Linked DNA regions of Canis lupus familiaris. The protein of the gene in region 5 interacts with the protein of the main gene of each other region in a biochemical or structural test. Links are inferred from orthologs where the notes say so. Each region holds a gene or a part of one and is shown on either strand. Other genes may lie near its edges. The genes, in order: RUNX2, RUNX1, DDIT3, ATF2 and FOS.

Region 1 (5,580 bases), on a different chromosome or scaffold from region 5:
ATATGTATCCAAATGCTTCCATACACACATATGGTCTAAAATAATACTATAAAGACAAAAGGAGAGCCATTTATGGACCTTAATCAAAGATCTAAAGCCCACTACTTTAAATGCAGTAGCACCTATAGCTACAAGCTTTATGTTTACAAGTTAGTGTGAATTTCACCCTTGCATTTTTATTAAGGACACATGTCTAGTAAAGGCATTAGCCTTTTGATTCCTACATATCAATATTTAGGGAATTATTTAGGCTAATAAATGGCTACTCTTCACAGAGCTCTAATGTTCTTCCCTGACGCAGATATCTGGTTCTCTTTAGCATTTAAATAGTTTATTTTTATAATTCTGTATTATTTTTTAAATATATACTCAGGTATACCCTTATATGCAGACTAATATACATACACTCACTCTAAATAAATATCCAAGAAGACGTATATCTAATATGGGCAGGAGAGATAGAGAGGTAGGTCATCCATTTATAAACAATTATGTTTATAAACCATTAAGGACACTTAACACCTAGCCACTATGAGGGAAAACCTCACCATTAGAACAGATCAATGTTGAGAGTTTACCGTACATTTTGAGTTATTTTCCCTCCATTCCAGTCCACCCTTGCCAACAACAGAAACCAAATGACATGACTAGGTGACATCAGCTCTCAATACTTGTGATCAGCAAATTAAAAATCTATGATGACTGACACACTCCTCTGTCACCATGATCTAAAAGCAATCGCACTAAAAGCAAGATCTGTTTTTGCACAAATGGGGCAGAAAAAAAAAAGAGAGAGAGAGAGAATTGGGAGTCTTACTGCACCAAACATGAATGATTAGTCTGTAATGCAATGCTGACGTTAATTTTTAAGAAGAAAGGTAGTAAGCAGCTTACTAGAATGTAGTATAAAAAGAAATGTCGCATTAGGACCCGGGGCTAAATGTGAATCAGCAGCAAATTCTGTTTGCCTGATGAGCAGCTCATTGACCTTGCCTTACACCCACCAATCAAGGCTTCCTGTTAGCCCTGGGCAATCTTCAAGCAAACTTAATGAAATAGTTATACATGTAAGAAATTTAAGCCCAAGTCTGAGACAGTAACACTGATTTTCTAATAGCGAGGGTGTGATGCTCTCCTCTGCGCCACCCAGGGCCCAGTACAGAAACTTATTAATGAACATTCTCCTAGAGAGCATAGTTATTACCCTCCACCAGTGTGCAGACTGACAGTGCTCCAGAGTACAGCATTCACAGCAACTTCCCCCAAATTTTATCCCCAAGTTACTGCATACTGGAATTTGTTTTTCGTTAAAAAAAAAAAAAAAAAAAAAAGAAGAAGAAGAAGGAGGAGGAGGAGGAGCGAGAGGAGGAGGAGGAGGTCCATAAGATCTTCACGTCTTGATTCTTTAATAATAAAGCCATTTCAGAGCCCAGGAGTATTGCAGTGAGTGCGTCTCATGTGGCAGCCCCTCACCCCCAGCCTGCCGGAACGTGTGCAAGTGAAACCTAGGAATCTGTCTTACCTGTAATCTGACTCTGTCCTTGTGGATTAAAAGGACTTGGTGCAGAGTTCAGGGAGGGCCGTGGGTTCTGAGGCGGGACACCTACTCTCATACTGGGATGAGGAATGCGCCCTAAATCACTGAGGCGGTCAGAGAACAAACTAGGTTTAGAGTCATCAAGCTTCTGTCTGTGCCCTGGAAACAGCAAATCATAAAATAAAAGCATATTAATTAGCTGAACAATTGACCATACTAAATAGATATGTGAACATACATACTGGGGGGTTAAGCCAAGGAACCATCAATACTGATATTTATAATGAAGTGTCTCTATAATGCCTTCTATCGCAAGTGGTTTTATAAGCATCATCTGGTGGCAAGCATTCCTACTCCTCTGTCCTATGAATGGAGAGCCGAGGGTCCCAGATGGTGACTCGGGAGTTGAGTGCCAGCAGCGAGGCCAGGATGCCGGAACTCAGGAGAGACTCTCTGGGTGCCTCCTCTAACCCTCTTGGCGATGGTGGGAAAGGTGATTGTGTACTGGGATGTGTCTGCCTGTTTCACGAAGGAAGAAATTTCCCCAAAGTTCAAAGAGTCTGTGTACGTCACACATATTCTCTCAAAACTGGGGCAGAAACAGAGACAAACACATTTGTCAAAGGGAAATTTCCACAATGATATAACTGACTTTTTTTTTTATTACAACTATACCTTACTGTGACTGCTTTCTGAAAAATTAAAACTCAAACCTTTAAACCCCTTTAAGAGGAAAAATATGGAAATATAGTGAAGGAAACTCAAATTCTCAAGAGGAATCTGGATATTTTGTGATACCCCAAAACCTAAAAGCACATAAATAAACTATGTTAAATCAGAGAAAATGCTTTTTTAATTTTAAATCTAGTACTATGATTCTGTATAAGAAATAGAAAAATACCATTTGGGTTACCATGTGAATGTGAGAATCCATTATTAAAAAACAAAAAAACCTTGTCTCTCTTCCAGTTTATTCAAGTCTAAAATCTAAGGAAGTTCTAGATTTTAAAGAAATATGCAAATTACAATATAAAGAAGGTTCAAAGGCTTTTTGAAAATCATGAAATCATTCTGAGCAGAGTACAGTGTTGTCTTGGTGCAAGTATAACAGAAAAACATCTGAATATTGGTGCTACATAAGTTAAGTGCACACCTGTGGAGTGCCAGAGTGGTGAATGAGTACGATAATGCCTCATATGTGAACAGAAATACACTGTAGATTCCTTCTTCCATATTCTGTACCAGAATGAGGCCCTAGTCTGTCACCGCAACATACTGTAACTGAAGCTGATTCAAAGAGCCACTAAGGGGCACCTGGGTAGCTCAGTCAGTTAAGCGTCTGACTCTTGAGTCATGATCTCAGGGTCATGAGATTGAGGCCTGCCTCAGACTCCGTGCTGGTGAAGCCTGCTTGAGACTTTCTCCCTCTCCCTCTGCCCCTCCCCTCTCCTCTCGAACAGGTGTGCATATACACGCCCTCTCTTTAAAAAACAAGAGCCATTAAGATGATGACTGGAATCAGAATTTGCCTTCTGAAGAAAAAATCAGGGAAATCAGGATTATTATCCATAAAAAAAAAAGAAAAAATAATGGAAGGAGGATTATTAAGAGCCTTTGACAGTGAGGAGGTATATTCTATGAGTATCAAGAACACCTCATCCTCCTCTCAGTACAGGACAAGAGCAATCTATCAGGAGAGGGTTAAGGTGAACATTAGAATTTCCCAGCTATAAGCTGTCTTCATAAGACAGATTCCTTATTTTATTTGCCCCAAAATGTATTTTCCTGTCTCCTTTTTCATTGCCTACCCAGCCCAAAGAAAACAGACAGGAAGCCAAGGCTTGGAAATATGAGCGTAGCTGTCTCCGCAGCCAAACATGTTCCAAATAGGTCCATTAACTGAAATGCGCCCACCACCCTATTTCCTGCCAGCATCAGTTTGGGGCATCTGCTGGAACTAGGAACTGAGATCAGGAGAAAAGTTACCAAGCGAATTCATTGTTTTTTATGCTGTTTTCCCCATTGTTTAGGACTTCTTAACCAGATTATGAATAGATTTTGGAACTTTCCGCAGTCTTTAGAGATTGCCCCAAACAGCTCCCAACCCGCAGCCAGCAAGATGGTCATAGACAAAGCAACTAGGGCCGGCAGAGGTGAAACAGCAAGCCTGTGGTCTTTAGCCATCAGCAAGCTCAGCCTGGATGGTATATGGTTCCCGTCCTAGCTAACGAAGTTGCCCAAAATATCCATATCGACAGAAACACCTGTGCAGGGCCAAGGCTGGTTTTCAGCATGAGCAGAAGTAGCAGCGAGGATTCAATTACAACTTTAATAGCTCACCCACTACCCTAAACAAACTTCCGCTGATGCATCTTGCTATGTCTAACTAGTTTCACAATTAGGGAATTACAGAGTACTTGTCACAGTTAGATCCGTGGATTCTGTTCCCCATATACATAGAAAAGAAAAAAAACATTGCTGTGGTGTTGATACAGCTGTAAACATTAACAAGAAAGCTTATGGAATTGTCCCTGGAAGTTATTTTTTTTAATAGGCCATATTTTTGGAATGTCAGATTCCCTGAGGACTAAGGAGAGGACTACATGAGCCTGCATGGTTCCTTTAAACACTGGGACTTTATGTGGGCTATGGGTCACAAGAAAACTTAATAAAGCCTTGCCTCTGCTTTCTACAGCCTTTTCATTGGGTTTTCACAGAGACTGGATGAGATATGAGCTCAGCATATGGATGGGTGAGTACCCTTGCCATTTCCTCTTAGCACAGTGCTTTAGGGGAGCCACAAGAGGCTGTAGGCAAGAATAAAGGACTTGAAACAGCACTGATAAGGATGAAAAAATGTAAGAGCAGGTGAAATTTTAAAAGCCTCAATGACCTTATGGAAACTACCTTCAAACAGGAGCTACCAAGTACCTACAGACACCTAGAGTAACTCAGAGAATATCTATCTGCGGTTGCGTACGTATAAAAAGAGGTATGCGTTTTTCCTTGTAGATGTCTGCCCCTTCATAGCCAGCACCACAACCACAACAAAATTCTTACGGTACAATGAAGAACAGAAGCTGAAAGGGTTCTTCATCTTTCAACCATGACAAACACCAGCTACCGCTAAACCACATCAGGGTTAGCATGAGAGTGATGGGCTGAAAGAAGACCTACTTAAATCCTCCATACTCAAGTACTCCCTTAAGAGACCGAGAACATGGAAGACAAGGGCACAACAGAGTTAAATCCAAGACTCTGCAATGGTACAGGGAGAACTGAACCTCATCCGAAGGGCCGAAGACTGTGTCTTCCAAACAGGAGGAAGGTATAAAGAATGGGAAACTTATTTCCTGGAGCAGTGGCTCTTCTACTCCAGCTGGATTAGGAAATCCTCCAGGGAGCTTTGAAAAATATAGACGTCCAGACCCCACCTCGGCTCAGTTAAATCAAAATCTCTGGCAAGTGGGTCCCAAGGAGTTATTTTGTAAAAGCTTACTTATTAGCACAGGATCTGATGTGCAGCCAAGGCAAAGGACCACTGCCCAAGATGATCTCACAGTCATGTACTTGATGCCACCTGTTCATGCTAGTGACTCCCCCATCTCTGAGGTAAGCCCTCACCTCTGTCCTGAGTTCCAGGTCTGTAGGTCCCGCTGCCTACTGAACTCTCCTCTGGGATGTCTAAGACATCTTAAATGCAGTATATTAAAAACAAAATTCTTGACTCTTCTTGCCAGAGAACCCTATTCCTCTCCAGGAGTACCCTCATTTGAGTAAGTGGCACCAGCCACTCATTCACGGAAGCCAAAAACCTAGACATTTTCCTTGATTTCCCCTTATCTGTCACTCCCCACATTCAACCTATTACCAAGCCTTATCATTTCCATCTCAAAAGTGTATCTCAAAGCCATTCAGTTCCCTCACTTCTATTCTCTAGTCTAGGACCCCATCATCTCTCTCTTGGGCATCTGACAATGTCTTCTTACAGTTTCCCATCTCAGAACCTCTCTGTATTCCCAAAATGCTCTCCTCCTATTTCT
Region 2 (5,580 bases), on a different chromosome or scaffold from region 5:
AGGCAGGCTGCTCCTCCAATGTTGTTTGGAGGCCACCTGACGATGGGGGGTGGGGGGGGTGCGGGACGGGTGTGTGAAATTGGTCAATGAGCCTTTATTCGAACCACAGAGGTGAGGAAGGAGCAGGGGCCTATCCTCTGAGGATGGTGGCTCTATCCGTACATCCTGAGCCTGGGTTCTGCTTGGCAGGCCTTGAGTCTCCAGTTTAAAGCCATCTTGTTGGGGGGATAAAGGGAGCAAACTGGAGGCCCAGCCCTCCCGGCCTGTCCCATGGGACTGGCCTCTGCTCACTGCAGGGGGAACACGGCAACACATATACTTACTGTCTATACGGACAGCTGAGTGGCCCAACTGTCCACCCTGGATTGCTGAGCCCCTGGGGGAAGCTCATCCAGTCTGCGGGCACAACCTCTAGGTTCCAGATGAGGCCCTGTCAACCCCCTCCTAGAGGGTACACGGGGGGAAGCGGGCTTCGGGGAAGAATGCTGAAGGATGCTCGTGAAAAGCTTTCGAGGAGAGGGAGCGAAGAGGGGCCGAGGGGCTGCCCATGCCCTGCATCTAGCAGGAAATCCGACCTCCCCCAGGACTGTGGGTTTGCAGCCACACCTCATTTCCTGTTGGACGGGGCGTGCGCTAAGCTGGGCGGCCCACTTTGCTGCCCGTGGCCGGGGTTGCAGTGAGGAGCGGCTGTTCTGATGCCACAGGGAGGGCACCTTTCCTGGCTGCCCTAGCTCAGCCCGCAGTGCGTGGCCAAGTGCCAACAATTAATGCACCTTCCCTCGCTCCCGACCTTACACCACCACGATCCCCGCACGCCCGCTGCATTCTTGCCCCGCGGGGACAGGCGCAGAGGCTTGGGGAGATGGGGCGCAGGCTGGGGCAGCACCCCGTGGCCTGTGATGAAAGGGAGCCCCGGCTGCTGTGGGGTCGGTGGCCCTGGATCTCCCCTGGGAGCCAGCCAGGTGCGCCAATCTCCAGCAAATCCACGTTGGGGGTGAGGGGGCAGGGAGGGGCAAGACAAGAGAACCCCGACTTTTAGCAAATCCACAATACATTTTCTGATCTTTTCCCTCCCTCCTTCCTTGCCTCCCTCTCCCCTTCCCACCCTCCACCCCCCTCCCCACAATAGGACATCGTCAGAAACTAGATGATCAGACCAAGCCCGGGAGCTTGTCCTTTTCTGAGCGGCTCAGTGAACTGGAGCAGCTGCGGCGAACAGCCATGAGGGTCAGCCCACACCACCCAGCCCCCACACCCAACCCTCGGGCCTCCTTGAACCACTCCACTGCCTTTAACCCTCAGCCTCAGAGTCAGATGCAGGGTAAGTACCTGGAGGAAGCCCGCTTCCCGCCTCGCCCTCGGGCCACACCCCCCAGACCCATCCTGGCTTCTGCTCCTTGCTCAACGGGTGGTCCTCGGCCCAGCAGCCTGGGAGCTGGTTAGACAGCAGAGTCTCTGGCCCGCCCCAGACCTACTGAGTCAGATCTGCACCGTAATGAGATCCCCAGATCGAGAGGCACTGGCACCTAGGATATGGAGAGATAGATATCTATGTGTAGATAATATCTTGAATTTTTTGAGTTAGCTTTGGCTCTGCTGTTTTCCTACCTACCCATGAGGCTTGAACACACACACACACCAAGCAAGGTGAAAGTCAGGACATTTCAAGTTCTTATTGCCTTCAATTATTTGTGGGGTTTGTATCTATATGTTATTGTTTTTTTTTTAATATAAAGAAATACTTCGATAGCCTGGATGCCATCACATCAAAGGTATTATTGACAATAAATAAATTTGCAATCAATAAAGAATGCAGGTGGGCCCCCCCTCCCGATACCCACATACCCGGGTTTAGCCAGCAATTGCAAAAACAGGGTAAAATGCAATAATTGCATAAAACATGCTGTGCCAAATGAGAGAAGACGCACAGTTCATTTGCACCATAGAAGCCACTCTTGTCTATGATGATTTGCTCTGCGATACCATTTCGAATTTCTGAAATCCAGTTGTTTTCTCTGTGCTGGGCAGGACGCAGCTGCGTACGATACGGTCACAGTGAGATTCTCCAAGCAGCGGGCTTGTCTAACTCAAAGGGAGAGATAAGCAACACATCTGGGGGAGAGGGCAGGTGGCCAGCCAGGGACATGCTACTTGCCCTCTGGGACCGCAGAAATTAGCTTCCCCGGGGGGTTTCTCTGCGCGGGTCCTATCGTGGGACATGTCCCGGTCCTGAGTTCTCTAAGGTTTTGGGACCAGTCGCTCGCTTTGGTGGTTAGGATATGCTTTTGGGGGGCTCTGGAAAGGCAAGCAAGCACCCTTGCACAGAGTCTGATGGCTCATGCCTCGAGCTCTCCTAGTTCTGCGTCTGGGGGAGGTTCTGTTATTTGAATGGAAAGTTTCCAGACAAGACTTCCTGTCAGATAGCAGGCACACAGCTGCTAAGTGGTCCATCTGAAGGGTGGCCCCCTTGTCCCCAAACAGAAACGTAAAGCTTGATTTGGGCGGGTTAGCTCTCATCTGCAGATGCATCTTCGGCGTATTTAGGAAAAGGCCTCCTTGAGATCCTCAGTTTTGTGGTGCTTATCATGAATACTTGTTCGAGATATGCATATTGATTTTTTTTTTTAATGCCAGAATGCAAGCGTGTACGGTAAATCCGATCGAATGGCACGTTAAGTGAGAGGGATGAGTGAGGAGTGAAATGGTCCTTTCCTTCCGAACAGAACAAATTCTAGAAGGCGATCCCCTGATCCTGTGTGCGGGGCCGCTGAAATTAATTTATGCCATCCTCAGACCTCCATTCGTAACATCAGAGGGAAGACTCCTGTTTTCTTATGGTCTCAGCCCATAACTGACAATTTATCCTACTGGGCTGAGTAAGGGTTTTTCCTCGCTCTGCTGGTATTGGAACCCAAACTATTAAGCATCTTTAAAAGCAAGGGAAGATGCAGGGTGGCAAGTTGCAATGGTCACCCTTTAGGCTGGCTTCGTGGCGGACAGTTTTGGTGAGGAATGAATCAGATCTGATTTGCCTCCTGGTCAGATAGGCTCTTTTTCCCCAAAAGAAGAGGGGGAGGGTGGTAAGTGAATTCTTGTCCTGGGCCGCCAGCAGCTCTCGGGTGGAGACATTACCAAGGCCGGACGGGCATTCTTCGGCTCTTTGGAATACTGTATGCTTAGCAGAGTATCAGGTTTAACACAGAGCCTCTCCCCTTTCTTGTTCCTTTTAAAAACTTTTTACTTCTGCAACATGTAAGTAATAATAACTTGCTTTTAGAGTGCCCTAGAGGTTTGGTTGCTACTCTAAAGAATGTGTTAACTATATTGCTGAAGCTCTTTCTTTCCAAAATATGATTTGCTCTTCAGTCCTTCACTTGTAAAATTGGAGGAACTTTTTAAAAATAACTACCCAGGATACATTCATGTAAAACTACTTTTCCTTTTTCTTTCTTTTTTTTATTTCCTATAAGAAAAAATGTTTTTTTGTTTTTTTTTTACCCTAGTCATGTTTTGAGTAGACCCGAGGGATTTTTTTTCCCCCTGAAATTAGAAAGTTAACAGGGATAAGAGTAAAGTCTCTTTCAGCCAGAACCTTCATTTTGTTCTTGACAAGTAGGAAAATGCTTATTTTCCTGGCTTAGCTCTAGAGACTCCATATTATACTTAAGAAGATGCTTTATATAAAAATCCAGCATGTGTTTATGGCTCTCTTTGAAATGGCAGTCATCGTTGTAAGAAAAATATCCCAGAGGTGGTCACGGCAATTCTTCAGCGGTGCCGTACGGGTGTGTGACTGTTTTCAGCACCGGGAAACGTCAGCAGCCGGGGCTTTGGAGGGATCGTGGGGTGACAGAGAGGCTGGGACCTCATCTGGAGAGCTATGTCTGCCCCTTGAACTCTGGCACTAGGAAATCACAGATCCAGAAAAACGCCTTTATTTATCTAGAATCAGATGTGCTCGAGAATCCCTCAGAATAGGCATCTCAAATTATCTGAAGCAAGGGAAGAGGGAGGGGGGGCAGGTTGCCATGCCACCAAACCACTGTTTATTTGTTGAGGTTTTAACTATTAAAAGGGCTGAGGTTAATATCAACTTCCTCCTTTACCAGCTCCTAAAATTGAATAGAAAGTCATTTTGTCATGGCTACGCGACTCGTTTGGGACGTCATCGCAAACTTCTCCAGGCGAGTCTTAGGGCTCTTGTTCAGTCGTGGGAGGGAAAATGGACACGTGTCCTTTTAAAAGATGCGACCAGCACAGATCCCAGCGAGATGAAGTCGCTGATGCTGGATCGGTCACACATGCTCCCTTAGAGATGGCTCCAGGCAACCCCAGCAAGTCATTTGAAGAATTTGCCTCTTGATTTACCAAAAATGATGAACCACATTTAAGGCTGCATGACCCCTTCCTTTCTGGGGAGGATACCCAATATTTGCTGATGCAGAAAACTGTCAAAACTGGACAAAGAGGCCAGTTTTGTTGTTCTCGCGTGCGTGGTCATAAACTTCCAGGCGTGAGGCTTAACTCTTTCACTGGACCAGTTATGGTGTATTTTGGCACAGGTCAGGCCTTTTGTATACATTATTCCGCTCTCACCACAATCCTGTGCTGTGGTTTATAGACAGAGCAACTGAACCTCAGAAGCTAACAACTGCCCAGAATCTCCAAGAGCATGAGTGACAGACTTGGACCCAAACCCAGACCTTTCTGGCTACAGAGCCAGGGCTGACGGGGTGGCAGTTTCTCTTGGATAGAGGATCGATTAGACACAGGGCTGACCAGTGTCCAGAAGAATCCCGATTGTCAAAGGGGAGATGGGAGCAGTGCTGGGCCGGACGTTCACTTGGCAGGACTGTGTTGGTTGTGTTCTGTAGATATCGCTAATAATGAGAACCTTAGGGCCAGAGTCTGTGGCGGGCACCTCGATAAGCTGTCTTTTTTTGACTGGTGTGTGTGGGGGGTGGGGTGGGGGGAGATGTACATTTGTTTTGCAACTTGAGGACAAAAGAAAACTCAGAATAATGCATCTCTAGCATGAGGGAATGAGGGATGAGGGGGAGGAGGAGGGCTTCCCAGCCACCCTCTGTCTGCTTTACCGGGGCAACAGCCTGGCCTTCCTGCATGGAGGAGTCTCTCTTGGGGTCCAGTGGGACCAGAGCCTTCTTAATGTCTAAATCCAGGCAACCTCTGATGAGCCTCGAGGAGTGTGGGTGCCTCGCTTTGAGAGTACGGTCAGGCACTGGAGAGCCTGACATCTCCGATTCACCTCCTGAGTTTTAGTAATTCCAGTGATTTTTGTGTTGATAGTGTTTCCCCGAAGGTTGAAGTTACTTTGGAAAGACTATGTTCTCTGGTACTATTGTCTGTGAAGCTTTTTGGAGATATGAATTGACTTTGTTCTCAGCTATTAAACAGGGTTACTTATGTCAGTGTTTACCAGCTGCATTGACAAAAGGGGGAAAAAAAGCCTCTCCACTTCCCTGTAGGAGGAGAGACAAATCCCCTTTCCAGCCTTGGGGGTGAAATATCCAACTGCATAGCACTTTTCTCTACTTCTTCTTCTCTGTCTCTTTCTCTCTC
Region 3 (6,334 bases), on a different chromosome or scaffold from region 5:
TTGTATACTAGTATTCCCTCTCTGCTGCTTTTGCCCGGCATTTGAAGCAGCATGGGTGTAGAATACACATTCTTATGGGATCCTGGTAAAAGTCCTCAGCCTTCCTTGGGGGACTCTGTTGGTAGTTTCCAGGGGGCAATTATCAGACCATCTTGTGTTCCTTTCTCCTGTGTGGGGAGTCCTTTGGGTGAGTCTAACCTTGATGGGGACTGAGGTTTGTAAGACAAACCAATTCTTTGTTGGGGCTGACTGCTCACTCAGCCAGCTTTCAATTAGGACATGCTCTAAGAATAGTGATTTGGTCACCTAGTTAGGGGCAGGCCAGGAGGAGGGATGTGGCTGTCAGCAAAAGTCTGCTCAGATTCAAACTCTATCTTATCTTCTCTAGGTGTTTTCATAACTTATTAGGGCCCCAAGACAGGGACCCGAAGCGGCATCTCTTAGAAATTGGTTCTAGGAAAGGGATGGTTAAGTTTTCCTGCTCTCAAAAAAAAAAAAAAAAAAGTTTACCTGCTCTCAGGTGTGGTGATGTATGAAGATACACTTCCTTCTGGAACACTGTGGGGATCAAAGACAGAGGTTAGCCATTTTGGGAAGGGAGAGGGACAGTTCCTTTTATCTCCAGCCTCCTATCGGTCTTTCCTCACTTCTGTCTTACAGGGTATGGACAGTCAGTGGTCCCTGCAGCCGTTTCCAAGGACAGAGGAGAGCCTGACCTTTATTTTTAGTTGCTGACATTTGCAGTCCTGATTACATAATAGAAAAATCATGGCCAACTTGACTTTCTCTAAATTTAAGGTAGGCCTCAAACTGCCAGGGAAAAGACTGGACGACAGGGAAGGGAACAAATCAAGTTATTTTCCTAATTCCATTCCCACACTGACATCCTGGAAATACACATTTCCAGCCTCGACCTCTCCTGGGACCTACAACTGTGTTAGCTGCTTATTGCTTTTGGATATCTAAGAGGCATCTCAGACTTCATATATCCAAAGACAAATTCTGCTCACCTCTTCCCTCCATCTTCCCCATCTCAGTAAATGGCAACTCTACGTGCTTAAGCCAAAAGCATTAGTACTGCCCTTCATTCCTCTCTTACACCCAATTCAAACCACCAGCCCAATTTTTAAACTCATTCTTCAAAAACCAGAACCTGAATACTTCTCAAGAATTCCATTGTTTGCAATCTAGGTCAAGTTACTCTCCTCTGCTGGATTACTCAGGTTCCCGGCTTCTGCTCTTGCCACCCTGCCCCAAGTCTGTTCACAACACGCAGCTGGAGTGAGCCTTTTATTTTATTTTATTTTATTTTATTTTATTTTATTTTATTTTAATTATTATTATTTTTTTTTATGATAGTCACAGAGAGAGAGAGAGAGAGGCAGAGACACAGGCAGAGGGAGAAGCAGGCTCCATGAACCGGGAGCCCTATGTGGGATTCGATCCCAGGTCTCCAGGATCGCGCCCTGGGCCAAAGGCAGGCGCCAAACCACTGCGCCACCCAGGGATCCCTGGAGTGAGCCTTTTAAAACTCTAGTCAGGTCCTGTCAGTCTGTTCAAAACTCTTCAAGGACTAAAGTTCATGAATATTAAAGGCTAAAGGTCCTTAATATGGCTTAGAAGGCCCCACACAATCTCCTTCCCTGCCCTGGATTTCTCATTGACCACTCTCCCTCTAGTCCGTCCAGCTGGCCTGCTCCCTAAACTCTGCACACTCCCACCTTAGGACCTCTGTTCTCACTGTTCTTTCTCCTGGAAAGCTCTTCCTTTCACAAATCTGCACAGCTTACTACTTTGCCTCTTTTCAGAAGTTTCATTTAAATGTCACCTCTGTGAGAGAATCTCTAATGACTCAAGGTAAACATCCTGGGCATTCACTACCCTTCCATGCTTTGGTTTTCTCCTTGGCACTTCTATATTTGTTCGCTGTGCACCTTTTCCCACGAAATGTAAGCTCTGTGAGAACAGGTCTTTTCCTTGTTCGTAGATGCATCCTGGGCCTAAAATGTGTGGCACATAGCAGGTGTGTAATAAGTAATTTGTGAAGAATGAAAGAATTCTCCCCAGTGTCTCATAGGGAAGGGAGGAGGAAGCCCAGAGGCAGAGCAGCAGCTGCCCAGCCCTGGGGACTGGAGATGCAATATCTCCCAGAGTGTTTCTCTTCAGGGCTGTCCTCCCTGGGGGACCCTCCTTGCCTTCCAGCGTGTGGGATGCCGCTTTCATCAGCAGTGGGGCCCCAGGCCAGAGGGCTGCAGAGCCAAACAGGGGGCTGGCCTGATGCAACGGTTACACAGAAATTAGCTGGGAGGCAGGACGCGGGGAAAGCAGCAGGGACAAATCCCTGCGGAAGGACCCTACACTGGGGAGACCCCAAATGGCTTCCCACACTTAAGGGATCCAGAATGCTCTCTTGTGCAGGAGGCCCCCGGGACCTCTGGGGGAATGGGAAAACCCATCTCTGCTCCCTAGCCATTGGCATCCCTCCTCCTCCCAAAGTCTGGAGTCTGTCTCCTTAAGGTTCTCTTCTCCGTTAGGGTGTGGAATGGCTGTCCTGTGCAGGACCCAGGAGCTCCATCCACCGACGTGGCCACTCTGGCCCTGAGACGCTGGGCTGAGACAGGATTGGGGGTGGGGTAGGGGCAGGGCCGCTGGTGGGAAAGTGGCGGCAAGGGCGTGAGCCAGAGCCATCCAGGCGTCTCGGCGTGGGGGAGTGTCCTGCCGCCCCGCCTCCCACCGGACAGGACCAAGGAGGCGGCCTAGGGCAGCAGCGGAAGACAGGGAGTCTCCCGAGGGCATCCGGACCCCTTAGCCCGACGGCCCAGAGCCGGGCCCGCGCTCCGGGCAGGGTGGGGCGCCGCTCCCGTCCGAGGGAAGAGAGGTCTGTAAGCACCACTCCCGGATAAAGGATGCTCCCCGTCCCTCCCTCGAACTGTCACTAACTTCGTCGGGGAACGGGTGGGGCCGCATCCTGAGCAGCTGATGCCCCAACTTCGAAGGGACAACCAGCATCCCCGAGGACTAGAGGGTAAAGAGCAGGTGGGATCGGTACTCGCCTCTCTCCTCAGGTTCCGGCTCTGACTGTGGCTCTGTGGCTGCCACCCGCTCATCTTCAACATGATCCGCTCTGTGCCTTACACTCAAGCCTCTGACCTCGGAGGCCCGAGCGCGGATGTTTTAAGGAGGCCCTGCCCTCCCCTCGGGGGCGGGCCCGCAAGCCTGCCAATCAGGGCGCGGCACGCCGGCGCTGGCCCCGCCCCGCCCCCCGCGCCCGCCACTCAGCAGCCCCCGCGGCGCCGCCCCCTTCGCTCCCGCCGGCCCGGGGGTAGAGGTGGTGTCGGACCCGGAAGTGGCTTTGGGTCACGAGGCTCCGCGGAGGAGGCGAGTGAGTCATGCGCGCGCGCGGAGGGGAGAGCTGGGGGGGAGGGGAGGAGGGGAGGAGAGGGGGGCGGGGATGATGCAATGTTTGGCAACCGGTGTCTCGGCGCGCACGCGCAGGGGCCGACGAGGGTGGTGGGCGGTGCGGGGGGGTGGGGGAGAGGAGAGGGCGGGGCGCCAGCGCCGGGCTCCCAACGGCCCCAACGGCTCCCAACCGTGGCCGCCCTCAGGCTGCCTGCGAAGCCGCGCTGCGGCTCGTCCTCCTCGGCGCCCTTATTCCGCCCACCTGGCGTTAGCCCCCGCCTCGCCGTCTGCATGGGGGGCTCCCATTTTGCTCGGTCCCCTCCTAGTTAGTGGGCGCGAGGTCTTCTAAGCCAATCTCTTTTGAAAGTTTGCATGCAGCCACAGGACCGCCTAACGTCTCCTCGAGTAGGCGCATAGAAAGATCCCGTTTAGCTCCCTAATTCCCCCAGAAGGGGCCGAGGAACTTGAGTACTTTTGATGGTCATTTTCAGCTCCTCGCCGAAAAGCACCCCTAACTTTTATCTTTGTGAAGTTTCTGATGAGCGCTCAGCATGCCAGGATTCAGGACTTGGCCCGGTGGACGCGATTCTCAGCCTCCCCCCCCCCCCCCCCCGTACTCTGGTGCCTCCACCAAGGATCAAGACCCGCCCTTTTCGCTGTACCAGCCGCGCAGGTCCTGTGACTCCTGCGTGAGGAGCCGTGCACCCGCCGCCTGCCGCCTCGGTGCTCGGGCGACCTTAGAGCCTCGTTGCCTGGGACGTTGGGTGCACTTGAGCGCGCAGCCGCCTTGCACCGGGTTGTCAGGAGCCCAGAGTCTGGCCTCACCTGCCCCTTTACTTGCCCCCTAATATCTGTGCCACAACCGTTCTTGTTTGTAAATAAAGGATGACGAGTTGTGAAGGTAAAACGAGAGCACTATGAACTTGGAGGCAGCTTAAACAAAAGTGAAAAGCATCGCTTAAAATGCAAACGTTTTTCTTGTGCCATTAGAGAGAAAAAAGATGCCATGTGGCGGCCGGTTGTATTCACTGTCATACCCTCACGGGGGCAGCCAGAGTTAAGTAGAATCTGTCACAAGGCCGGTTGTGGCTGCAAGGAGGTTTAGGTGGTGGTGTGACGGTGACAGGTCCTCGGCCGGGCCTGCTCCGTTGCTCCAGACCTCCATTTCCCCTTCAGTAGATGGGGGTGGGGGTGGGTTGGACCAGATGGTCTCTCCTGGCCCAAAGACATGACCAGGTTGTCAGTGACAGGCAGAGGTCATGTGACTTGACAGGCGGAGGTCCTGTTGTGACATGTTGACCTGGGGAGGCGGGTCAAGTCCCAGCACACTACCCGGGAAGCCTTTGGGGCGGGGCAGGGCAAGTCGCGACTTTCATCTTTTGGGGCCGGCCCCTCCCGGACCCGGCATTCCTGGCTCCCCCGACAGACTGTGGCTTTGGAAGGGGCCCCTCCCCGGGGAGGGCTGGGATTGGCCGCCGGTGGCCTGGGAAGAGGCTCAGATCCTTCCGCGGAGGGCGGGGGGGCCGCGTGGGGTGTTTGTTCTCTTGGGGATTAATGGGGGGTTGTGGGGGAGGGGTAGGCGCGCTCCCGCATGCGCACTGCGGCCCCTCCTGTTGGCTCGTCGTTGTCCGCTGGGCGGGGGCCCGGCCCCGCCCCTCTCCCGTCCGGGCAGCGGCGGCGGCGGCGGCGGCGGCGGCTGCGGCGGCGGCGGCGGCAGCGACGGCGGCGGCGGCGGCGGCAGCCTGCGCGGTGCCTTCTGGGAACGGAATCCCCAGGGCTGCCCCTGGCCCCCATGGCGCATGCGCGGGAGGCCGCTCGGTGATCCGCGGCGGCGGCGGCGGCGCTTCCTGCTAGGACCGGCCGGGGCCGTACCGGAGGCTCGGGCTCCGCCGACCCTCCTCCCACTCCCTCCCACTCACCCTCTGGGCCGCGACTGCGCAGGGCGGGGCCGGCCGAGCCATGGGCCGCGGTGAGTGCAGGGCCCGGCCCCCCCGCCCCTCCCCCTCCCCTCCCCTGCTGTCCCTACCCTCTGCCCCCCGCGTCCTCGGCCCCTTTCCCGGCCCCATCCCCGCCCCCCCGCCCTCACCTGCCCCCGCCGTCTCTCCCTCGCACTGCTTGACTTTTGCCTTCTTCACCTCCCTCCCTCAGTGCTTCGCCCACCCTCCGCCCGCCCTCTCCCCAAGTTCCTTCCTACTTCGTGCGCCTTCCCCTCCTCCCCAGGCAGAGGGAAGCAGGCTGGGTGACAGGGCGCCTTGTTACGAGAGGGAAAGTTTAGGAGCCGCCGGTGTGGGGTGGGAGCGATGGTGAGGCTGGGGGGCTGCTTGCAGGCGGGGGGGGGGGCTGCGTCCCCACTTGGAGCCAATTTGAAGCCGGTGGGGTAGGAGGTGCTGAAGCCCCTTGCCTCGGGCTTGGGGGGAAATCAGGAGCTTCTCGGGATTCTGGGAGAAGACAGAGCTAGGTTGCAACCCTTCCTAGGAAGATCAAGTGAAGCAGATCAGTGATCGTCTCATGGGGCGGGCATGGGGGCTTCTGTTCGTACCACCCTGAGGGCCGTTGGGCGACCGCCTGGTGACCTGTGGGGCAACCCGTACTTTTATATGATCTTCCTGGGGGGTAGGGAACAGCAGGGGGCCAGACGCTCTGGGAAGCTCCTAGTGGCCTGGCATTATGGGAATTTGCCCATGTTCCAGGATGGATTCTGTCTCTGATGGGACAAAGGGGCTTTGCCCTTTATGTCCAGGGGTTGGGCTCTGATTCCTTGGCCCCGGGGAGTTGTTGAGGCTTGGATCCTCCGGTTCCTTGGGCGGTACCTGGAAAGGACGGTTGTGGACTCACCAGCAGATCCCTGAGATCTTTCCCTGGACAGTGTCCTGGGCTTTGGTGCTCTCGGAGTTGGGCAGATTCCCGACAGCCCCCCCTTTCTCCTGTGTTGCAG
Region 4 (6,281 bases), on a different chromosome or scaffold from region 5:
GAGAGATGGAGTGAAGAAGTACCATTTTAGTGAATACATACTTGACCTAACAACTTGTGATTTGTCAATTGCACATCCTGCCCATTATCATATTTTGTGTCAGTAATCTGACCTGCTGAGGTTTAACTGATATAATTTGTGCTATGTGACTCAAACACTACCACAATTCTAATACTAGATAGGACTAGTACTTTTATTTTATTTTATTTTATTTTATTTTATTTTATTTTATTTTATTTTATTTTATTTTAATTAGGATCTATGATCCAGACTTTTTTTTTTTAAGGTTTTATTTATTTATTCATGATAGAGAGAGAGAGAGAGAGAGAGGCAGAGACACAGGCAGAGGGAGAAGCAGGCTCCATGCCAGGAGCCCGACGTGGGACTCGATCCCGGGGACTCCAGGATTGCGCCCTGGGCCAAAGGCAGGCACCAAACCGCTGAGTCACCCAGGGATCCCCAGTACTTTCATTTTAATTTGGGACATGAATAGTGTTAATATTCTAGCTTCTTTTTGGTCTCTTGAATAATGAAATTAGTTGTTTTTTTTAAGATTTTATTTATTTATTAAATTTAAAATTTTTTTAAAGATTTATTTATTTATTTATTCATGAGAGAGAGAGAGAGAGAGAGAGACAGGCTGAGAGAGAGAAGCAGGCTCCATGCAGGGAGCCTATGTGGGACTTGATTCTAGGTCTCCAGGATCACACCCTGGGCCGACGGCAGGCGCCAAACCACAGAGCCACCCGGGCTGCCCAGTGAAATTAGTTTTAAAAGACGAGTGAGTTGGCTCACATACGTGTACACAGGCCAGAAACCTGCTAAAATGTTCAGTGCCATGAGAATTTCACTTTTATGCCAGATACCATTATTAAACTGCAAATTAACTTTTCAAATACGATACCCCACAAACTTCCAATAATTTCAGTTTCACTTTGACTTGGATGTTTGAGAGTGCATTTTACATTAATACACAAACTTTACTCATAACTTGTCATAGACTAGAAGTCATATAATACATGAAAAACCAAGGCACTGAGAAAATCTAACTTTAAAGAAATCATTATAACAAATGTTTGTGGGAGCCCTTGATCATACTTTCCATTGTGTCCATTTATTGAACAATCAATATCCCCACACTTGACGTCGAAATATTTAAGTTATATAAAGAATCATAGAGCAACATTAAAAAATATTTTCAGTACTATTCTTTGTGTTTTCATGAGTGTATCTGTGTCGACTGCAGAACAGAAAATATGGTATCTTTTGTCCCTCAAGTTAAATTAATCAAATGGTCTCCCTTCTCTAACTCTTTTTTAAACAGCTACTTTCAAAGCTTGACAGACATTTCTTTGTCATCGTAGCAACCTAGTGAGCACTGGCTAGTATTATGAGAAGAGAGCCATTTCTAGTCCATATTCTAATTTGGTGTTCTTCGGTCCCCAGTAAAGGTTACTAAGGAGTTGATGTTTTAAAAGTTTGAAATTATCTGCATTAAAGGTGATACGTTTAAAATCTGTAACTACTAAGTAAAGGGAAATTGATAGAATACACCTTCCTAAGGAAGATTTTCTCTTGCAAGCAACTCCTTGAGCTGTTTCAACTTACAGTTATATAGTGGGGGGCGCTGCATTTCATATCCTTCCGGGTACCAGGCGTTCAGGAGCCGGAACAACCAATATCAGCGATAGCTTCGTAAAATTTGAACAAATGCCATCCAAAGGCTTTTTCATTTCTTTGTAAAACTGACTTTTTTTTTTTTTTGCAAAACTGACACTTTTTTTTTCTTTTCTTTTCTTTTTGCAAAACTGACTTCTCTTGGGACTCCCGGGTGGCTCAGCGGTTGAGCCTTCAGCCCAGGGCGTGATCCTGGAGACCCAGGATCGAGTCCCGCATCGGGCTCCCTGCATGGAGCCTGCTTCTCCCTCTGCCTGAGTCTCTGCCTCTCTCTCCATCTCTTATACATAAATAAATAAAATCTTAAAAAAAAAAAAAAAAAAGCTGACTTCTCTTTCCCGCTTCAGGCGTGTGGAGGCCTTGAGGGGGAGGGGCATTTTGCTGCAAACTCCGCCTCTCCCAAATCTCAGCTCCACGGAACCTCCCCGTCTCACATTTCAGGGCAGCAGAAAAGTGGGTCCAGGCGCGCGCCCGCCTAACGTTTTGCCCTCCTTCCTACCCAGGGCCCGGAAGGGACGGCAGCAGAAATACTGGGCTCCCGTGACGGAGCTCGGAGGCCTCCTCGCGCCTCCCCTCCCGCCACTCGCAGCCTCTTCCGCAGGTCCCCTCGTCCTCGGCGCGCACCGTCAAGCCCTTGGGCCACCCCGACATCCACCTGTTCCCGCATCCACAGCCCCGCCAGTCTCCAGCCCCAGCCAATCACAGCCTTCCGCAGGTGACGGAGGCTCCTCCCCTCCGGCTCCTTCGGCCCCGCCCCCTTCCGGAACCGCTTCCCGCCCTCTGGGCTCCTTGACCAATCGTCTGCGACTGAGTGGCCTTTGGTTCCCGCCCCCTCCAGCCCCTCCCTCCTCAGGTCCCGCCCCCTGCCGCTGAAGGCTGACGGCATCACCTGACCCGGAGGCGCTCGGTCGAAAGGAAGGCAAGAAGGGGCGTGTGCGCGGAGGGGAGGGGCGCGAGAAGAAAGGGGGGATGCCGGGAGCGGGGCGGGGAGAAAGGGGTGTCAGTCGGATCTCGCGAGAGAGGACGGAAGCCTGTGGGAGCCCGTGGCCTTTAAAGTGCGGTTCAGCCCTTTCCTCCAGGGGTAGTTTGTAAACACGGCTGAGCTCGGGCCTCCCGGGCGGCAGCGAGAAGCATGAACTAGCGACCTGGGAAGGTGAGTAGCGCGGGCGGAAGGCCGCAGGGCTGCGGCTGGAGGGAGAGGGAGAGAGAAGGCGCTAACATGGCGACGTCGCTCCGCGTAGTCCCCACCCCCCGCTTCCCATCGCCTCGGGCGCTCCTGCCTCGGTGCCCGGCCCTCGGGGCGACCCAGGCCGTCCCGCCAGCTGCGCGGCAGGCGCGGCGTCGGCGGCGGGGAGCCCGGCCGGCCCGGCGGGCCCGTTATAGGGAACTGGCGTTCGTCGTTCCGGCCCCTCCCCGCTCGCGCGCTTTCCTAACGAGGAGGAAAAAGGAATAACGGCGCCTCTTAGACCCCTCCCCCCCGGTTCGCCTTCCCCTTCCCCGGTTAGGTCGGAGGTGTCCGGGCGCCCCCACGCCGCACCCCCGGGGGCGCAGGGAGACCCCCGCCTTCAGCCCTTGGATCTGCAGGGAGAGGGCCGGCTCGGGTCTCCCCGCCCAGGACTCGGGGGTGCGGGGACTGTGTGGGTGATGCTGGCGGGGAGGGGGGTCGGGGTCCCCGCCTGCGGCCGCGCCGACGGCCTGGGCAGCCCGGGAGCTGGAAGTCCCCGCCGGTTCTGTCCTTTCTGCCCCCTCACACTCCCGCCACCCCCCGCTTTTTCCCTGTGGGGCGGGGCTGAGGTGTGGGTGCAGATTGATTCTGGTATTTTCCCCCATTTTCTTTCTTTTCTTTTTTTTTTTTTTTTTAAACCTCCCCGCACGGACTGCAGAGCCTCTGTAGGGTAAATAACCTGTGCCTTTTTTTTTTTTTTTTTTAATGCCCTAGGGACCAGGGCCGAGGGAGTGACTGTGTGTGTCTGTATTTTTTGTGTTAGCTCGTTGAACCGACGCTAGAGGAAGGAGAAGGCGGAGGAGCTGGGGATCATTTGTGTCCTTAGATAGTCTGAAATTGCTTTCGCTTGGGGGGCGGGGGCGGGGGGGGGGGGGAGTTGAAAACTGGTTGAGGCCAAGCGCAAAACTACCGTCAATATGGTAGAGTAAAGGGATTACACCTGATGGACGACCTTCGCCCTGTTGACTGATAGTTAAATCATAATGTGAAAGTCCTCATTTCTTGGGGGTTTTAAATTATGGAGACGGTAACCGTGCGTTGACTTTAATGTACACACTTGATGTCCAGACAAACCTGTACCTCTCTGAGTGCACTTTGTGTCCTGTGTGAAGAAACCACTGGCACTGTCAGTAAGTAATAGCCTTTCTAGGCGTCGTTTTTAAATAGCCGTGTAACCTTGGTCCGTTGTACCAGAACTTGAAGGTAATAAGCTTGTTCAAAAGTCAGCCCTACAGGTTAAGTGACCTGAAAGGCAAACACAGTAGCAATTCCATCTTGTGATTACATTTGTTACACTGATTTGAGGAATCCGCTGTAAACACTTCGCAGAACTGCAAGAGTATCTTTGTAAAGGATGTTTAAAAAAAAAAAAAAAAGAGATGCCCTCTTACAGATAAAGAATTAGTTAAGGATGTTCTTGAATCTTTAAGGTCATCAGTAATTGAGTAACAATTAAAAATCTTGGTCTTTTTTTTTTTAAGATTTTATTTATTAAAAAAAGAAAGATTTATTAATGAGAGAGAGAGGGAGGCAGAGACAGAGGCAGAGGGAGAAGCAGGCTCCATGCAGGGAGCCCCATTTGGGACTCCATCCCAGGACCCCGGGGTCACGCACCTGAGCCGGAAGGCAGATGCTCAACCGCTGGGCCACCCGGGCATCCCAAAAATCTTGGTCTTTGTAATTTATAAGAATCTTACAAATTTATGGTTGTTTGTATGCTGCTTTCCGAAGACCTGTTTTATCTTGCTTCGAGAGGATTACGGCCATTAGATTTTTAATTATTTGAAATATATTGTGGTAATTTAGAACATAGATGTTTGTATTTGTCAATAAGGAAGGAGCTTTCAGGAACTGTGTGTGTGTGTTTTTAAGGTACATGTGTCTTCTGTAGATCTCATTGCATTTCTTGGAAATTCTTTTTAACCTTATAAGAATGTATATTTCATCCTTGGGGCACTATATCATAATGTATTAAATATGTAATCCAGAAATTCCTGTATTTTCTTTACTTGGAGTATTTGTTTCATATTTTTAAACAGTACAAATTAAGATTATTATGTCAGCTCTTTAACATAATTTGGAGGGATGCTTTTTCTTGGTATTCAGGATTTAAAAGCTATCTGAATATCATTTTTAAAAATGTTATGCTAGGGGCATCTGGGTGGCTCAGTTGGTTAGGTGTCTGCCTTCGCTTGGAGTCATGATCCCAAGGTTCTGGGATGACCCCCCGCCCCACTCCTTGCTCAGCAGGGAGCCTGCTTCTTCCTCTCCCTCTTGTTAGTGCTTGCTCTCTCCTCGCTCTCAAATAAAATCTTTAAAAAAAAAATGCTACACATCAAATGTCTACTACCTATAACTAGCATTAAGTCTCAAGAAATAATTACATTTTTTCCTACCTAAATTGTTGTATTTTGAAAAAGTTGGGTTTTAATGATTTAGATGTTCTCTGCTGATAAATTGTTAGATTATATTAGATCAAATGTGTCGATCTTATCTGTGTCATTTTGAGCAAATAATACAATCCCCCCCCCCTTTTTTTTGGTATATTTTTTTATTGGAATTCGATTTGCCAACATATAGTATAACACCCCGTGCTGGACAGCCCAGGTGGCTCAACGGTTTAGCGCCGCCTTTAGCCCAGGGTGTGATCCTGGAGATCTGGGATCGAGCCCCATGTCGGGCTCCCTGCATGGAGCCTGCTTCTGTCTCTGCCTCTCTCTCTCTCTCTCTCTCTCTGTCTCTCATGAATAAAAAAAATAAAATCTTAAAAAAAAAAAAAACAGGGATCCCTGGGTGGCGCAGCGGTTTGGCACCTGCCTTTGGCCCAGGGCGCGATCCTGGAGACCCGGGATCGAATCCCACATCAGGCTCCCGGTGCATGGAGCCTGCTTCTCCCTCTGCCTATGTCTCTGCCTCTCTCTCTCTCTCTCTCTGTGACTATCATAAATAAATAAAAATTAAAAAAAAAACAAACAACTTGTCAACATACAGAATAACACCCAGTGCTCATCCCGTCAAGTGCCCCCCTCAGTGCCCGTCACCCAGTGATCCCATCCCCTCCACCACCTCTCCTTCCCCTATTCCTTGTTCATTCCCAGAGTTAGGAGTCTCTCGTGTTCTGTCACCCTCTCTGATATTTCCCACTTGTTTTCTCTCCTTTCCCCTTTAATCCTTTTCCCCATTTTTTAATATTCCCCCAATGAATGAAACCATATAATGTTTATCCTCTGATAATCTCTCTTTTTAAAAACTCATTGAATAACAGTAATTGGATAGTTAAATGATCCTTAGAAATTAATACATTTAGTACTTGTTATGCTATTCACTGTCATTAAAATGTACTATTTTAGTTTAACTTGGTTTTTCACTTAGTATTTCA
Region 5 (6,044 bases):
TTTTCACCTCTGCCTGTGACAGGGAATGCAAAAATAGCAAGTGGCCCAGTTCCACGAATCCCCGCCTCCCTGCCCTCCCAGCTCCCGCCGGGTTCTCATCTCTAAGAATGGAGGTTAGCGCACAGCCGCGCGCGAGCCGCACGCAGCCCCCGGACCCGGAGGATGATGTCAGGCGGCGGGAGTGGCCGCGGCGGGGCCGGGGAGGCCGAGGCCCCGGGGGAGCGAGGAGGGAGGGCGGCCTGGCCCGGCCGACGGCGCGCCCGGCCGCGCGGCGTCGCCTGGAGACAGCCCTGGCGGCGCAGTGTTGCTGTAAACAGCCGCTTCCCTGTTACTATCTATAGCAGGATCGCCTGGCTCCGGGGTGCGGCGGCGGGAGGCAGGTCGGCGGTCCGGCTCCCCGCGCGCCCCGAGGGATCCGCCCGCGGCCCTAGTCCCGCCTCGCCCCTTTCCAGGGGTCCACCGCGAGCCCGGGGCCCGGAAGAGTGGGGAAGGCACACGGGGGCTCCGCTGGGCTCTGCGACTTCGCGCCCCGGAGGAGGCCGCGCGCTGGAACCCGGGCTGGGGCAATGTGACCCCAGGTGTCCTTTGCAGCGGAGGAGGAGGCTGGGGGGGTCTCTGGGGGTGCAACGCACGCTCGAGCCCCCGACCGCCCCAACCCGGTTTTCCAGGCCACAGAGCCGCGCCTGAGGTCCCACAGCGGCCGAGGTCTCCCTCCTGGGAGCTGCTGGCTACAGTCCTTCCAGCGCCCCCGGTCCCCCCCCCCCCAAGTCTGCGCTGGAAAATCACCCGCTGTGGGCAGCCAGTAAGCCCAGCTTCCTGGGGGAACCGAGCCTCGTCTAACTTCCCAGCTCGGATTTGCGCTCCCCCGGGGAACTCTCTCCACCCGGTACCCTCAACTGACCACCTTGTCCACATAGCACCCCCGGAATCGCATCCCACTCCCCGGGCCCCAGCTCAGAACTAGGCAAACGAACCCATCAGATATCCTTGCATGGAGGCTCTGCCCAATATTCACTGGCTAGCGTCTCAGATTTGACGGTATCGCTAATGTCCCTAAGTATGGCCGAGAAAAAAAAAATGCGCTTTTTTCCCTAAAAATAAAAAACCAAAACAATTAAAATTAAAATACCCAACATCGTAGATAAAGTAGGTTAGCGTACGTATTCCCTTATTTCGGATTTCCCGACTTTTCTGCTTCCAAATGCAGTAACAGCCCTAGTACTGCTGCGGACTGGGGGCTTGAGGGTCTGCTTTCACGGGGTGCACTGAATCAGGGTAGAATCCGGAATGGCCGGGGGCGGGGGTGGAGGCGGCGCATTCCTTCTGGGGCTGAGGCTTAAGCCCTCGGGCTGTGTACCTGTTTCTCCCATACCTGAGCCCCAGCACATTTCCGGGGCGCCGTATACTGGTAAAAAGGCGCTCCCGGCCCATCCCCCCACCCCGCCCGGGGAACAAGGGTCCGCATTGAACCAGGTGCGAATGTTCGCTCGCGTTCTTCTCCTTTCCCGCCTCCCCTCCCCCGGCCGCGGCCCCCGCCTCCCCCCGCGCTGCACCCTCGGTGTTGGCTGCAGCCGGCGAGCAGTTCCCGTCAATCCGTCCCCCCTTACACAGGATGTCCATATTAGGACATCTGCGTCAGCAGGTTTCCACGGCCGTTCCCTGCGGTCGTGGGGGGAGCCGTCCCCGGAGTCCCTCGTCTCGGGGGCTCCACGGGACCCCGGAGACCCAAATTGCTGATCGCTCAGGAGATAAGGGACCACATTAAGACGGGCAGTGGGGGGCGGCGGGGGCGGCGGCGGCGGCAAGGAGGCCGAAGGCGTGCGCAGGTCGGCCGGCCACCCCCCTGGCGCCGCGATGGTTGCGCCCATGACGTGGGTGGGGGCTCATTCATAGAATGCTGCTATAAATGCGGTGCTGCGGCGCCTCGTACTCCAACCGCATCTGCAGCGAGCAGCCGAGAAGCCGAGACGGAGCCGGCGGCCGCGGCGCAGCGAGCGAGCAGTGACCGCGCTCCCACCCAGCTCTGCCCCACAGCTCCGGCCTGTCTCCGCCCCTCAGCCCCTCGCCCCGGCCCTGACTCACCGCGACCATGATGTTCTCTGGTTTCAACGCCGACTACGAGGCGTCCTCCTCCCGCTGCAGCAGCGCGTCCCCGGCCGGGGACACCCTCTCCTACTACCACTCACCGGCCGACTCCTTCTCCAGCATGGGCTCTCCCGTCAATGCGCAGGTGAGGCTGGCTTCGCGCCGCCGCGGGGCCCGGGGCAGGGTCCGACCCCAGGGCGGAGACTCCGGGGCGGGACGCTCGGGAAGGCGAGTCGGGGGGGAAGCTGCCCTACCGCGGGACCCCCGGACTCGGTGGGGCGCACGCGCGCTGTCCTAGCGAGGATCGGCCCCCCTCTCCCGCGGCAGGCCCGGCTGGGGCCGCCCTCGGGCCGCGCTCCCTGGCATTACCCGGGGCGCAGCGTGTCCCAGGCCGAGACTCGCGAACTAGCGCCTGGCTCCTCCGGGAGGCGACGGGAAGCGGCAATCCCCCCGCCCCCACCCCTCCCCGCGCAGCCCGGAGCCGGGAGGAGGGGCGGGGGAGGAGGGTGAAGCCGGCGGGTGTGTAAGGCAGTTTCATTGATAAAAAGCGAGTTCATTCAGGAGACTCCGGAGCGGCGCCTGCGTCAGCGCAGACGTCAGGGATATTTATAACAAACCCCCTTTCAGGCGAGTGATGCCGGAGGGGTAACGGGGACGCAGCAGCAGGGTGGAGGAGAAACGCGCTGCGTCGCGGGCTTCCTGGGAGGACACGGAGAGCCCCCTGCCTCCAGGACGAGGGGCACATCAGAAGCCCCGAGCAGTCCGGGGCGTGCTTCTCCTCCGCTCTCCGCCGCTGCATGCGGCACTGGACGCCCGGCCCGCCGCACCTGTGTCCGGAACCTGCTCCCTCACGTCAGCTTTGCCCCCTCTGTTCCGTTCTAGGACTTCTGCACCGATCTGGCCGTCTCCAGTGCCAACTTCATCCCGACGGTGACTGCCATCTCCACCAGCCCGGACCTGCAGTGGCTGGTGCAGCCCACCCTGGTCTCCTCCGTGGCCCCGTCCCAGACCAGAGCCCCCCACCCGTATGGAGTCCCCACCCCCTCGGCTGGGGCTTACTCCAGGGCTGGCGTTGTGAAGACCATGACGGGAGGCAGAGCTCAGAGCATTGGCCGGAGGGGCAAGGTGGAACAGGTGAGCGGTTCTTCCAGCACCTTCTCTCAGTAGGGGGCGTGGGTTGGCATTGGTGGAGCTGGGGAGCACCGTGGGCAGGGCGAAGCCACTGATGGAGTCACCACCTATCTGTCCTCCACGAGGAACCCTGGCTCCAAGCCATTTCCGTCCCACGCCGGACTCTGATAGTCCTACCCCAAGAAATACTCTGGTAGTATTTCTTCCCTCATAGGCTCCTTCTCCAGCTTTTAGACCGGGCTCTTCTTTGTTCTCTTGCTAAGGATCTTATTTTAAATGCAAGTCACACCCAGCCCGCAAGTGCAGGTTAGAAATGGCTTCCTCGCAGGGGTGCCAGGAAGCTGGGAAGCTGCAGGGACCAGTTTCACCCCGGGGTGGCTGAACCCAGCTGATGGCAGACCTTGTTACTGACTGTTGGCCTTTTGGAAATTGTTTTTCTAGCTGTCCCCAGAAGAAGAAGAGAAAAGGAGAATCCGAAGGGAAAGGAATAAGATGGCTGCAGCCAAGTGCCGGAACCGCAGGAGGGAGCTGACTGACACGCTCCAAGCGGTAGGTAGACCCTGTGGGTCACTCCTTTTTCAAACTTAGGGGGAAAGTTGGAGACTGGGTATCCGGGAGCAGGGCCCTTGAGTAGGCCCGCGTCTTATGCTTTGCTCTGTCCCTCTGGATACAGGAGACAGACCAACTAGAAGACGAGAAGTCTGCTCTGCAGACCGAGATTGCCAACCTGCTGAAGGAGAAGGAGAAACTAGAGTTCATCCTGGCAGCTCACCGACCTGCCTGCAAGATCCCTGATGACCTGGGCTTCCCCGAAGAGATGTCCGTGGCTTCCCTAGATCTGAGCGGGGGCCTGCCCGAAGCTGCCACCCCGGAGTCCGAGGAGGCTTTCACCCTGCCCCTCCTCAATGATCCTGAGCCCAAGCCCTCCGTGGAGCCCGTCAAGAGCATCGGCAGCATGGAGCTGAAGGCCGAGCCCTTTGATGACTTCCTGTTTCCAGCATCATCCAGGCCCAGCGGCTCGGAGACCGCCCGCTCCGTGCCAGACATGGACCTGTCTGGTTCCTTCTATGCAGCAGACTGGGAGCCCCTGCATGGTGGCTCCCTGGGGATGGGGCCCATGGCCACAGAGCCCGAGCCTCTGTGCACCCCCGTAGTCACCTGTACTCCTAGCTGCACTACCTATACGTCTTCCTTCGTCTTCACCTACCCTGAGGCTGACTCCTTCCCCAGCTGTGCGGCCGCTCATCGCAAGGGCAGCAGCAGCAACGAACCCTCCTCTGACTCGCTCAGCTCACCCACGCTGCTGGCCCTGTGAGCAGGCAGGGAGGGGAGGCGGCAGGCACCCTAGGGTGCTACTGCCCAAGTTGGTGCATTACAGAGAGGAGAAACACGTCTTCCCTCGAGGGTTCCCGTAGACCTAGGGAGGACCTTATCTGTGCGCGAAACACACCAGGCGGTGGGCCTCAAGGACTTGAAAGCATCCACGCGCGGCCTCAAGTCCTTACCTCTTCCGGAGATGTAGCAAAACGCATGGAGTGTGTATTGTTCCCAGTGACACATCTGAGAGCTGGTAGTTAGTAGCATGTTGAGCCAGGCCTGGGTCTGTGTCTCTTATCTCTTTCTCTTTAGTCTTCTCATAGCATTAACTAATCTATTGGGTTCATTATTGGAATTAACCTGGTGCTGGATATTTTCGAATTGTATCTAGTGCAGCTGATTTTAACAATAACTACTGTGTTCCCGGCAATAGTGTGTTCTGATTAGCAATGACCAATATTAAACTAAGAAAAGATATGACTTTATTTTCTAGTAGATAGAAATAAATAGCTCTATCCATGTACTGTAGTTTTTTCTTCAACATCAATGTTCATTGTAACGTTACTGATCATGCATTGTTGAGGTGGTCTGAATGTTCTGACATTAACAGTTTTCCATGAAAACGTTTTATTGTGTTTTTAATTTATTTATTAAGATGGATTCTCAGATATTTATATTTTTATTTTATTTTTTTCTACCTTGAGGTCTTTTGACATGTGGAAAGTGAATTTGAATGAAAAATTTAAGCATTGTTTGCTTATTGTTCAAAGACATTGTCAATAAAAGCATTTAAGTTGAATGCGACCAACCTTGTGCTCTTCATTCGGGAAGTTTTGTAAGATTCTGAAAGGGATTGGAGACCAGTTCGTCCAGAAGGGTAGCTCCTGGAGGGGGACACGCCCCTTTGTTTGATCCCTTATCAAAAAGGAGAAGGAAACTCTAGAGCTGATGTTGGAATATTTGACAAATACATGTGTTCACACGGCCGAGCTAAGATTCTCTAGCAGACTCTGGGGTGGGAGTTGGCTGTGCAATAGCTCTGTGGGAACATGTCTGCCTGCTTCTCTGTTTTGCAAGTCAAAGGGGGAGATATTTAAATTTAGTTGTGCTTATGTTCAGTTGAAATGCCTTGAACTTAATGGGATACTTTTAGCAAACAAAATTTATTATTTTTTAAAGATTTTTTTTATTTATTTATTCATGAGAATCACAGAGACAGGCAGAGACATAGGCAGAGGAAGAAGCAGGCTCCATGCAGGAAGCCCGACATGGGACTCCATCCTGGGACTCCAGGATCACGCCCTGGGCCGAAGGCAGCACTAAACTGCTGAGCCACCCGGGCTGCCCAACAAACAAAATTTAAGTTTTGTACAAACCACTTTAGCTTCCTATTCCCACAAGATTATGTGAGGGTTTGCTCCTACCTTCAGAGTGAGCAAATTGAAGAATGGTTAGAATGAATGACTTTCTCAATGTTGCACTAGTGAGATTTGAGTCTTAACTTCCTCATT

The links.
Region 1: the proteins of FOS (region 5) and RUNX2 form a complex in vitro, tested with the Homo sapiens proteins (2 studies listed by BioGRID). The link is inferred for Canis lupus familiaris from reciprocal best matches to the Homo sapiens genes FOS and RUNX2.
Region 2: the proteins of FOS (region 5) and RUNX1 form a complex in vitro, tested with the Homo sapiens proteins (2 studies listed by BioGRID). The link is inferred for Canis lupus familiaris from reciprocal best matches to the Homo sapiens genes FOS and RUNX1.
Region 3: the proteins of FOS (region 5) and DDIT3 form a complex in vitro, tested with the Homo sapiens proteins (2 studies listed by BioGRID and IntAct, with this or other methods). The link is inferred for Canis lupus familiaris from reciprocal best matches to the Homo sapiens genes FOS and DDIT3.
Region 4: the proteins of FOS (region 5) and ATF2 form a complex in vitro, tested with the Homo sapiens proteins (3 studies listed by BioGRID and IntAct, with this or other methods). The link is inferred for Canis lupus familiaris from reciprocal best matches to the Homo sapiens genes FOS and ATF2.

What each region holds. Positions count from the first base shown.
Region 1 is NC_049233.1:13,984,452-13,990,031, reverse strand, and holds part of RUNX2 (runt-related transcription factor 2), read right to left. Parts: intron 1,697-5,580; coding exon 1,523-1,696; intron 1-1,522. UniProt on the Homo sapiens protein: Transcription factor involved in osteoblastic differentiation and skeletal morphogenesis. Essential for the maturation of osteoblasts and both intramembranous and endochondral ossification.
Region 2 is NC_049252.1:29,878,418-29,883,997, reverse strand, and holds part of RUNX1 (runt-related transcription factor 1), read left to right. Parts: intron 1-1,129; coding exon 1,130-1,321; intron 1,322-5,580.
Region 3 is NC_049231.1:1,962,130-1,968,463, forward strand, and holds the start of DDIT3 (DNA damage-inducible transcript 3 protein), read right to left. Parts: upstream 4,164-6,334; 5' UTR 4,062-4,163; intron 3,383-4,061; exon of another isoform or gene 3,300-3,382; intron 3,204-3,299; exon of another isoform or gene 3,054-3,203; intron 559-3,053; 5' UTR 511-558; intron 1-510. UniProt on the Homo sapiens protein: Multifunctional transcription factor in endoplasmic reticulum (ER) stress response. Plays an essential role in the response to a wide variety of cell stresses and induces cell cycle arrest and apoptosis in response to ER stress.
Region 4 is NC_049257.1:19,437,064-19,443,344, reverse strand, and holds the start of ATF2 (cyclic AMP-dependent transcription factor ATF-2), read left to right. Parts: upstream 1-2,660; 5' UTR 2,661-2,830; intron 2,831-6,281. UniProt on the Homo sapiens protein: Transcriptional activator which regulates the transcription of various genes, including those involved in anti-apoptosis, cell growth, and DNA damage response.
Region 5 is NC_049229.1:48,647,099-48,653,142, forward strand, and holds FOS (proto-oncogene c-Fos), read left to right. Parts: upstream 1-1,929; 5' UTR 1,930-2,089; coding exon 2,090-2,230; intron 2,231-2,967; coding exon 2,968-3,219; intron 3,220-3,657; coding exon 3,658-3,765; intron 3,766-3,889; coding exon 3,890-4,531; 3' UTR 4,532-5,337; downstream 5,338-6,044. UniProt on the Homo sapiens protein: Nuclear phosphoprotein which forms a tight but non-covalently linked complex with the JUN/AP-1 transcription factor. In the heterodimer, FOS and JUN/AP-1 basic regions each seems to interact with symmetrical DNA half sites.